3 linked regions of the Macaca fascicularis genome follow. The protein of the gene in region 2 interacts with the protein of the main gene of each other region in a pairwise test. Links are inferred from orthologs where the notes say so. Each region holds a gene or a part of one and is shown on either strand. Other genes may lie near its edges.

Region 1 (3,651 bases), on a different chromosome or scaffold from region 2:
TCAACTCCGTGGCTGTGGCTGCTCGCCATGCCCAGGCTATCAGTGGGCGTGCCCTGCGGTAAGGACTCCCTGGGGACCCCCCAAATCCTGATCCTTGTGGGGACCTGGATGCTCTCCCCAGCCCATTGCTTACTCATCATGCCCCATGGTCCAGCTCCCCAGGACTTCCCCAGAAAGAAGTAAGGGTACAGCCCTTACCCAGAGAAGGACTGAGGATGGAGCCTCTCAGTGCCTATTTAGATAGGACCCCCAGATCATATTACCTGGGTGCTTATAAAACAGGATTCAGGGTCCCACCCCAGCATTTCTGGCCTATAGCAGCTGCCTCGACAGAACCCAGGTCCAGGCTCCTGATGCATACTCCAGAAGACCCAAGAACCAGTCCCCAGCATTAGCTGCCCAAGGCGCAGGGTCCAGTTCCCTAGCAATGACCCAGAAGAGCCCAGGGCCCAGCCCCGAGCACTTGCTCAGGCCTACAGGGCAGCCCTCGGGAACCAGGATCAGACTTTTCTCCTTAACTGATAGGACTAGGGTCCTGCCACTCAGCACTAAATGCCCCTACAGACCCCAGGGGTCTGGCCCAGCCCTCTTCCAGGGGGTGAGTATCCTAGGTTACTGAGGTGCTGTCTTCTCCCCAGGATCCTGATTGTGGATTGGGATGTCCACCATGGTAATGGAACTCAGCACATGTTTGAGGATGACCCCAGGTAAGGGGCTGCAATCAGGGGCCGCAGTGTGATCAGGGAGGTGGGTGAGCACCTCAGGGGTACTGGAGCCCCTAACCAGCCATGGCCCCCTTCCTACCCCCTCCCCGGCAGTGTGCTATATGTGTCCCTGCACCGCTATGATCATGGCACCTTCTTCCCCATGGGGGATGAGGGTGCCAGCAGCCAGATCGGCCGGGCTGCTGGCACAGGCTTCACCGTCAACGTGGCATGGAACGGGCCCCGCATGGGTGACGCTGACTACCTAGCTGCCTGGCATCGCCTGGTGCTTCCCATTGCCTACGAGGTACAGCTCAGGATAGATCGCAGGATGTATGTGACATGCCTGTGCAGGTGGCAGCCTGGACCTGCCTCCTCAGCATGTGTGCGTCTGACTGCCAGGTGGCTGATGATATGAGACAGCCCATGGGTGATTAATGAGGCTACCGGGGCAATTGGTGACTGTGATCACTTTGTGTATTTGCCTGTGCACAGGTGACTATATGACTGCCTTCTCTGTGTGACACTATGTGGGTGACTATCTTGGCTGTGTGTGTGAGGGCCTTCTGACTATGCAGCAGTGGCCCGTGTCCTGGCTGGATCTGTGTTGTGTGTGTGCCATCACAAGTGCTTGAGTATGTGTGTGTGCGACTCTGTGCAGGCATCACCTTTTCTCTGTGTGATGGGTGTGATATTGTATGTCACTAAATGCAACCATCTCTGTGACAGCCTGTGTGGGACCCTCTGGATGTGAAAGGCTGTGTGTTACAGCAGTCACTGTCTGGCTGTCTGCCCTGGCTATTTATGTGTGTGTCTCTGACTGGGAGGTAGCTGCCTTCCCTCTGTGTGAGCTGGGGGGCTAGTGGCTTGCGTATGGCTGACTCTGGGAGGGAGGGCGGGGGTGTGAGCACCACTCTGTCACCCTGGGCGCTGATGTGCATCTTTGGATCTGCACGTGCGCGGGTGGCCAGGACAGCCTTCTGTATGTGTACAACTGTATGTGCAAGTAACCAGCTCTTGTGGACACACCAGAGTGCATGTCACCATTGTTGCTGTGTGGTAATGGCATGTGTATGTGACTCTGCAGGGTGGCTGTGGGTTACTGTCCTCTTTGAGAAACTATGTGTGTGTGTGTGTGTGTGTGTGTGTGTGTACATGACTAGTGCAGATATGTAGTACTGGTCTATATGGGACTGTGTGTGGCAGTACTTGTGGCTCTGTGTGACTATCTTCTCTGTGTGTGGCACTTGCATTGCCATCTTCTGTTATGGAAGTGTGCAAACACCTCTCTTTGACACTATGTATATAAAACCCTATATGTTGTGTATGTGTGTCCCACATTTGACCCTGGGGTGTGTGTGTGTAAGGACATGTCTCTGTCTCTCTGTTTTTCATGTCACTCTCTTGACATCTGAGTCTGTCTCATGTCTCATGACTATGTCTCATGTCCCCATCTGTCCCTTTCTACTGTCTCCAGGTCTCTAAGTCTGCATCTGTTTCTTCTGAGTCTGTATTTCTTTTCTTCCCCTCTTCATTTTCAGTCTCTGCTTCTGCATCTCCCAGTCTGCAGATCCTGTGTCTCCATCTCTCTGACTGGCATCTCCATGTCTTCATTTGTCCTTTTCTCCATGTCTCTGGGTCGCCATCACTTACTATCTACCAAAAGCCCCCACCCTCATGCTTATACATCTCTTCTCTCCCTGCCTCAGTTTAACCCAGAACTGGTGCTGGTCTCAGCTGGCTTTGATGCTGCACGGGGGGACCCGCTGGGGGGCTGCCAGGTGTCACCTGAGGGTTATGCCCACCTCACCCACCTGCTGATGGGCCTTGCCAGTGGCCGCATTATCCTTATTCTAGAGGTAATTCTCTCTTGGTCCCTCTTCCCACAGTGGGAGGGTAGTTTGGAAATGTTGGCACCATCACTCAGGACAGTTTCCTGAAATCTCCTTTGAGTGTCCCTGCCTGGGATTGTTGGCACATACTGGGTAGTAATAAGAATAACAGCAACATTAACAGCCTTAATTGAGTGCTCACTATGTACAGAGCACTCTTCTGAGCACTTCATGTGTCTTATTCATTCAGTTACTTGGCAAGGCAGCCTTATGAGGTAGGGTCAGCTTACCTCATTTTCCTCTCTCAAGGTCAGGGAAACTGAGGCACAAAGAGGTGTGATGACTAGCCTGAGATGGCACATTTACTGATGGCAGAACCAGGACTTGAACCCATGCAGCCTGGCTCCAGGGTTTGTACTTTTTACTCTACCTAAACTGCCTCTAACAAGTTCCTGGGACAAAGGAAATTCACTGACCTTTGTAAATGGCCCAGTATCCCTATGCCCTGTGCCTCAGTTTCCTCATTTTTATGAGGCAGGCTAATCATGGAGGAATATCTGGCATATGGTAAATGCTGAATCTGTTGGATCTGGTTTTTTGTTCTTTTGTTTTTCTTTTTTTTTTTTTTTTTTTTTTGAGGCAGAGTCTCACTCTGTCACCCAGGCTGGACTGCAATGGCACGATCTCAGCTCACTGCAGCCTCCACCTCCTGGGTTCAAGTGATCCTCCTACCTCAGCCTCCTGAATCACTGGGATTACAGGCACCAGCCACCACGCTCGGCTAATTTTTGTAGTTTTAGTAGAGATGGGGTTTCACCATGTCTGCCAGGCTGGTCTTGAGCTCCTGGCCTCAAGAAATCCACCCACCTCAGCCTCCCAGAGTGCTGGAATTACAGGCGTGAGGCACCGCGCCTGGCCCCTGGTTACTGTTATGCATTGTTCAGATATTAATCGGCTCAGCAACCTTCTGTGCTCTTATTCTCTTTTCTTTTCTTTTCTTTTCATTTTTGTTTTTTGTTTTTTTTGAGACGTTGTCTTGCTCTGTTGCCCAGGCTAGAGTGCAGTAGCGCAATCTCGGCTCACTGGGTTCAAGCAGTTCTCTGCCTCAGCCTCCC
Region 2 (3,651 bases):
AGATGGGGCCACCTGAAATACTTCCTGCAAGGAAACCCGACCACAGGTTCCTGGGCCAGCAGGACCAATGTGTACGTGTTCATGTGTATGTTGTGTGTGTGTGTGCCCACACTACTACTTCCCTGTGCAGAAAACTTGGCTCCTCCCTTATCTGGGGAGAAGGATTGGCACTATAACTTGGGAAAGGGGGTGTCCTGCCAGGAAGGGGACTGGGGTGGGGCTGTTCCAGAAATGACTAACCTTCCTAGTCTCTTTCATTTCAACCCAAGGACCCTGGAGTTACCAGCTCCTCTGGAACTAGCTCTCTTTGCTGGGACTAGCCAACCTTCATGGGGAGTGATAAGGAGCCCTCCAAGGTCAAGAATTCAGACTAGGGGTATATAAGAGGGATTGGGGCCTCACCAGTCTCCCTCCCTCCATTCCCACTGTTGCCTCCCACTGACTACCACTGCCTCAGGGAAGGGTGGCTGGAACAGGTGGTATCTACCCCCTATTCCCCACCCCACACGTGGTCTTTCGCTGAACCAGAAGAAAGAGACTGGGGTAGGGCTTCAGAGTCCAGGATTTTCCATAGGCCATTGTCCACCACATTTGCAAAGAGTGAACTCCCAAGGCTGACATGCCATGTGCCTCTAGTCTAGGCTTTCCCCTAGTGCGGGTGAGGATTGCCATGGTGAAAGGCTTTTTCATGAACCTCTTCTAACAATGAAATTGGGTGGAGGCTCAGTGTGGGGCATCTCCTACTATTTCTCTCCAGGTGTCCCTGTATTTGCTAAAAAATACTCTAGGGCTGGAAAGTGATGCTGAGGTTGCTAGAGTGTGTTGGGATAGGGAGAGAGAGTGAGAAGGAAAGCCTGAGTTTAGGAACGTGGGGAGGCAACCAGCTTCTTATCTTCCAGCTTTAAACACAAAGCTCCCATTGACCCCCCCCCCACCCCACCACTGCCAGAGCTCCCTCCTCTACTGAGGTCACTTGTCTGAGCCCAAGGCTTGAGGGTGGAGGGGAGTGCTGCTGAGGATGGGGTGTCTAGGGATAGGGTGGGGCAGCCCCCCTCCTGGATAGAATCGCCTCATTGTGGGCTGGACTGTGGCCCCAGGCACTGCCCCCACCCTCTGCCCCCATCCCACCCTCAGTTGACACAATAGGGGCTGTGTACTAGCCCCAAAGAGATATTTATTCCAGGACCTAGAGAGAGGCAGGATGAGGGTAGAGAAGTGAGTGCCCTGCTTGGAGGGGGAGAGGAGGGTAATCAAAGTTTCGGCCCTTTCCTAACTTCTCTTTTCTAGGGAGGGAAACAAATTCACTGTCATCCTTCTCTATTAACCCCTTAGTACCCAGAGTGGTACCCAAAAGAGGCACAGAGGGGTCTCAGGTAGAAAAAGGAAATCTTCACCTTCCCATTCATAGAATGGTAAAGGGATTCTGAGAAGAGAGAAAGCTCTCAGGCCACTACAGCTTCTGCCTATCGCTTGTGGGAGGGTTGGAGGCAAATGCCCTCTGATCCTGTCTAATGTAACTGGAAGAGGGCAACCAAGGGGGTGATCTTGGGGGATGGCAGATGGGCTGTGAATTTGTGTCCAGCCCTCAGCCACTCTTCCCTCTGCTTTGAACAGTGTGTCCTGGGACTCTGAATGGCCTGAGTGTGACCGGCGATGCTGAGAACCAATACCAGACACTGTACAAGCTCTACGAGAGGTGTGAGGTGGTGATGGGGAACCTCGAGATTGTGCTCACGGGACACAATGCTGACCTCTCCTTCCTGCAGGTTAATGTGCACCCTCCTTCCTCAACCTGCTCCTCTTTATTCTCCCCTAGAACCCTCCTTCCCTCTTCAGGGCTACCTTCTGCTGGAGTTCACCCTTCCTAAGACTCAGGAGTTCCTAAGATCCAAACCCGCGTATTTCTGGGGACAGTGGCTGTAATCTGGGACCTATGGTCTCGCTGTTGTAGCCAGGGATATATAGGGGGCAGGGGCAGAGGCAGGGGCGGGGCAGGTGGTGTTCTGTGGTAGTGCGAGGTCAGCAGGGACTAGCGCAGAGAGACACCTGAGGACCGAGAGGGTACCTGGGGAGATGAAGAAAGGGCCCGCCTGGCATGAGGAGCTTTGAGGAGAAAGCTGCCTGTCTTCACTCCCAGAAGTGACATAGTAGTGTGACACAGTCTACTCCCTACTCCAAAATAGGAATTAGCAAGAGTTAAGGAGAGGTGCAGTGGCTCATGCCTGTAATCCCAGCACTTTGAGAGGCCAAGGAAGGCAGATCACTTGAGGTCAGGAGTTCAAGACCAGCCTGGGCAACATGGGGAAACCCTGTCTCTACAAAAATACAAAAATTAGCTGGGCCTGGTGGCACGCACCTGTAGTCAGCTACTTGAGGGCTGAGGTGGGAGGATCGCTTGAGCCCAGGAGTTTTACACTGCAGTGAGCCGAGATTGTGCCACTGGACTCCAGCCTGGGTGACAGAGCGAGACCGTCTCACCAAAAAAAAAGGTCAAGTGCGGTGGCTCATGCCTGTAATCCCAGGACTTTGGGAGGCCGAGGCAGGCGAATCACCTGAGGTCAGAAGTTCGAGACCAGCCTGACCAACATGGAGAAACCCCATCTCTACCAAAAATACAAAATTAGCCAGATGTGGTGGTGCATGCCTGTAATTCCAGCTACTTGGGAGGCTGCGGCAGGATAATTGCTTGAAGCCGGGTGGCGGAGGTTGTGGTGAGCCAGGATCGCGCCATTGCACTCCAGCCTGGGCAACAAGAGCTAAACTCTGTCTCGAATTTTAAAAAAAAGAAAGAAAGAAAGAAGGAAGAATTAAGAGTTAAGAGTCTTTAATGCCTGAAGGAGGAGAGGGGATTGAGATTTTTTTGCCCTGTTGTCTCTCTCATTGACATAATCTGCTCTGTCACAGTGGATTCGAGAAGTGACAGGCTATGTCCTCGTGGCCATGAATGAGTTCTCTACTCTACCATTGCCCAACCTCCGAGTGGTGCGAGGGACCCAGGTCTACGATGGGAAGTTTGCCATCTTCGTCATGTTGAACTATAACACCAACTCCAGCCACGCTCTGCGCCAGCTCCGCTTGACTCAGCTCACCGGTCAGTTCCCGATGGTTCCTTCCGGCCTCACCCCTCAGCCCTCAGACTGGTACCTGCTTGATGATGACCCAAGGCTGTCCACTCTAAGTGCCTTTTCCAAGGTGCCTGTCACCTTGGTAACTGTCTAATGGTCCATTGCTCCCTAAGCAATAGAGGGCCCCCAGTAGGGGGAGCTAGGGGCATCTACTCCAGGGAAAGGAACCATGTGTCCTGGTGGGGCTGGAGTCAGAGCCGGATCTGTTACCATTTCTCTAACTTCAAAGTACAGTGTACTGGAGGCCAGGCGTGATGGCTCACACCTGTAATCCCAGCATTTTGGGAGGCCAAGGAGGGCAGATCACTTGAGATCAGGAGTTTGAGACCAGCCTGGCCAACATGGCGAAACCCTGTCTCTACTAAAAATACAAACAAAACAAAACAAAACAAAATTAGCTGGGGATAGTGGTGTGCACCTGTAATTTCAGCTGCTCAGGAGGCTGAGGCAGGAGACTCGCTTGAACCTGGGAGGCGGAGGTTGCAGTGAGCCGAGATCGCACCACTGCACTCCAGCATAAGTGACA
Region 3 (3,651 bases), on a different chromosome or scaffold from region 2:
AACTCCTGGGCTCAAGTGATCCTTTCACCTTGGCCTCCCAAAGTGCTGGGATTACAGGCATGAGCCACCAGCCCTGGCTGAGAAACTTTATTTAGGGAAACATGTTTTAAGTCCACATAATAAATTTTGCAAATTAAAAGACAGCTAATATGCTTGTTGTGCAAAATTGGAAAATTCAAAGAAAATAAAGTATCTGAACTCCCTGCCCATTATCATTGTATTGCTGTATTTCCTTTCTTTTCAGGTATTTTTACATATGCTAACATGAACAGATACACAGACGTATATGTACCCAAAAAAACATGGGCGATACACAGTATCATCTCTTTTTTTTGGGGAGATGCCTAGACTGGAGTGCAGTGGGTGTGATCTTGGCTCACCGCAACTTCCTCCACCTCCCGAGTTCAAGCGATTCTCCTGCCTCACCCTCCCGAGTGGCTGAGATTATGGGTGCACACACCATGCCTAGCTAATTTTTGTATTTTTAGTAGAGATGGGGTTTCACCATGTTAGCGAGGCTGGTCTCAAACTCCTGACCTCAGGTGATCCACCCACCTCGGCCTCCCAAAGTGCTGTGATTACAGGCATGAGCTACCGTGCCCGGCCCAGTATCATCTCATTTTTTGCCATGAGGACACTTCCCCGCCCCGTTCCCCCCTCCCCACCCCGCCACATGTCTGAGGCAAGAAAACAAGCACTTTGTTGTTGTTGTTGTTGTTGTTGTTGTTGTTGAGATAGTCTCATTCTGTCGCCCAGGCTGGAGTGCAGTGGTGTGATCTTGGCTCACTGCAACCTCCGCCCTCCGAATTCAAGCGATTCTCCTACCTCAGCCTCCCGAGTAGCTGGTATTACAGGAACCTGCCACCGCGTGCTGCTAATTTTTTGTATTTTTAGTAGAGGCAGGGTTTCACTATCTTGGCCAGGCTGGTCTTGAACTCCTGACGTCATGATCCACCCACCTCAGCCTAACAAGCACTCATTTGTTTTTTTGTTCTTTTTTAAGAGGGTCTCACTCTGTCATCCAGACTGGAGTTCAGTGGCATGATCATGGGTCACTGAAGCTTCAACCTCCTCGACTTAGCTCAACCTCTCACCTCAGTTCCCAGAGTAGCTGGGACTATGGGCGTGCTCCTTTTAAACATTTTTTGTAGAGATAGGGTCTCACTGTGTTGCCCAGGCTGGCCTAGAACTCCTGACCTCAAGCAATCCTCCTACCCCTGTCTCCCAAAGTGGTGAAATTGCGGACATGAGTCACTGCTCCTGGCCAATGGGGACAACTTTTTAAAAAATAACATTCATCTGCTCTCATTTTTCTAATAAAACATTGCCATTTATTATGTGGCTTTATTAGTGTTATCTTTGTTCTAAAAGTGTAGTATAGTGTCTCTAAAGAAGGTTAAGAGTTTGTGTCAGATCAACTGCATCAATAACCTATTTTGTATTTTATTTTAAGATGAAAACTTCCAAATGTATTCAAAAAGGGGATATGATATGTTGGAACAGCTGTACATTGTCTATCTAGATTCAACAACTTAACATTTTGCCATAGTTGCTTTGTTTTTCTTTCTGTATCTATTGTTTTTTTTCTTTTTTTGACTGAACCCTTTGAGAGCAAATTGCAGACATCATATTTTACCTGTAAACATTTAAGCATGCAGCTCTTAAGAATGAAGACATGTTTCAACCAGGCGCAGTAGCTCACACCTGTAATCCCACCACTTTGGGAGGCCAAGGCAGGCGAATCACCTGAGGTCGGGAGTTCAAGACCAGCCTGACCAATATGGAGAAACCCCATCTCTACTAAAAATACAAAATTAGCTGGGTGTGGTGGCACCTGCTTGTAATCCCAGCTACTCGGGAGGCTGAGGCAGGAGAATCACTTAAATCTGCAAGGTGGAGGTTGCGGTGAGCCAAGATCACGCCATTGCCCTCCAGCCTGGGCAACAAGAGTGAAACTCCATCTCACAAAAAAAGAATGAAGACTTTTTTCTATATAACCATAATACCATTATTATACCTAAGAAAATTAATTTTTTAAAAATTTATTTGTAATTTTTGTGGGTACATTGTAGGTGTATAAAATAATAAATTTTATAATATCGAATATCAAGTTTAAATTTCCCTAGTTGTCCCCAGAATGACTATTGTAATTGTTATTTTGAATCCCAGTCTAATCAAGTTTATCAGTCAAGCACATTAAACAAGTCTTTAATCATCAAGCCCCTCAGCTGTTTTTTTCCCCTTGACACTGACTTTGAAGAGCCTGAGCCAGTTTTTTATAGTACATTCTGCATTCTGAATTCATATGATTGTTTTCTCATGTTGTGCTATAACTTGATCCTCTATTCACTTTTTCCCTGTAAACTGGGAATTAGCATTATTAGATTCATTCTAAACATTTTTTGGCACGAATACAGGACATGACTGTATAATGCATCATATCAAGAGGCACATAATGTAAGGGTATCTTGATTTTAGTCTGTCAGCTTAACTGTGATCAGCTTGGATGATTAGAGCTTGTTCTGTACAGTATTAAAGTAATTACTATTGTAGAAACCTGTAGATTTTCCAACATTTACTAAAATATGAAAGGATTGAGTAGTTTATTATTCATACTTAAAATACTTTATTTTTATCTAGAGATGTTTTTATCAAAATAAGGGCAAAAAGTAAATACAATTTTTATCCGTGAAAACTCTAAAGTCTTTCAAAGATCTGTTTAAATCTATATAGTTTTATGTTTTGTATTTCCTACTTATCATTTAGCAGAAATGATGAAGAAATTGTTCTGATGGCTTGCTTTTCTGTCCTTTTCCTACTGCTTTAAACATTAATTTTCTTTTGTACTAAATCGTATAGCCAATTATTGTTTTTTTTTTTTAAGGAAGTCAGTTTTAGGAAATGCTTGTGTTGCTGTTGAATTATAAAAGCTGAGTAAATTTCAGATTAAATTTTAAATGACTGTGAAATAAGACATAAACTAGTTAATGGTAATTTGCTTAAAATGACTTGAGATATTATAATTGGAAGTTTTTATTGATACAGGTAAGAATCGATATTTAATAAAATGTTCTCATGCTTAGACTATATTACTTTTCAGTAGAGAAATTAGTATTTTGCTGTAATGTGTTATGAAATACATGTGATATCCTAGTTTGTCTACTGACACTGGGGTCTTGAATCTTAAAAAAAGGCCTCCGAGGAAGCAGAGGAAAGTGGATCACAGGGAAAATTGGTGGAAGCTCTCAGGCAAATGAGAATTAATCATAGGGGAAACTACCGACAACTTCTGGAGGAGATGCTGACTAGTTACAGGCTAGCTAAAGTAGAGGGAGAAGAAAGCCCTGCTGAACCAGCTGCCACAGCTACTTCTTCGAACAGTGATGCTGGAAACCCAGTGACAATGCAGGAAAGCCATACTGAATCAGAAAGTGGTCTTGCTGAATTAGACAGCTCTAATGAAGATGCAGGGACAAAGATGAGTGGTGAAAAAATATGACTTTTCTTTTTGGTAATATTTTTGTGATCTTTGATGGTTTTTAACTTAGGAAGTGTAATGTATGCATTTATATAACCGTTTTGTTATTTGAATCTTGGAAAACTAGTTTTATTATATTCAGATAGCCTTGTTTTTTAAAAAGGCCTTTGCAT

The links.
Region 1: the proteins of ERBB3 (region 2) and HDAC6 interact in a protein complementation assay, tested with the Homo sapiens proteins (2 studies listed by BioGRID and IntAct, with this or other methods). The link is inferred for Macaca fascicularis from reciprocal best matches to the Homo sapiens genes ERBB3 and HDAC6.
Region 3: the proteins of ERBB3 (region 2) and PPM1B interact in a two-hybrid assay, tested with the Homo sapiens proteins (2 studies listed by BioGRID and IntAct, with this or other methods). The link is inferred for Macaca fascicularis from reciprocal best matches to the Homo sapiens genes ERBB3 and PPM1B.

Annotation. Positions count from the first base shown.
Region 1 is NC_088395.1:48,977,677-48,981,327, forward strand, and holds part of HDAC6 (protein deacetylase HDAC6), read left to right. Parts: coding exon 1-58; intron 59-638; coding exon 639-707; intron 708-818; coding exon 819-1,011; intron 1,012-2,413; coding exon 2,414-2,563; intron 2,564-3,651.
Region 2 is NC_088385.1:62,869,297-62,872,947, forward strand, and holds part of ERBB3 (receptor tyrosine-protein kinase erbB-3), read left to right. Parts: intron 1-1,614; coding exon 1,615-1,766; intron 1,767-2,904; coding exon 2,905-3,091; intron 3,092-3,651. UniProt on the Homo sapiens protein: Tyrosine-protein kinase that plays an essential role as cell surface receptor for neuregulins.
Region 3 is NC_088387.1:77,825,646-77,829,296, reverse strand, and holds part of PPM1B (protein phosphatase 1B), read left to right. Parts: intron 1-3,193; coding exon 3,194-3,499; 3' UTR 3,500-3,651.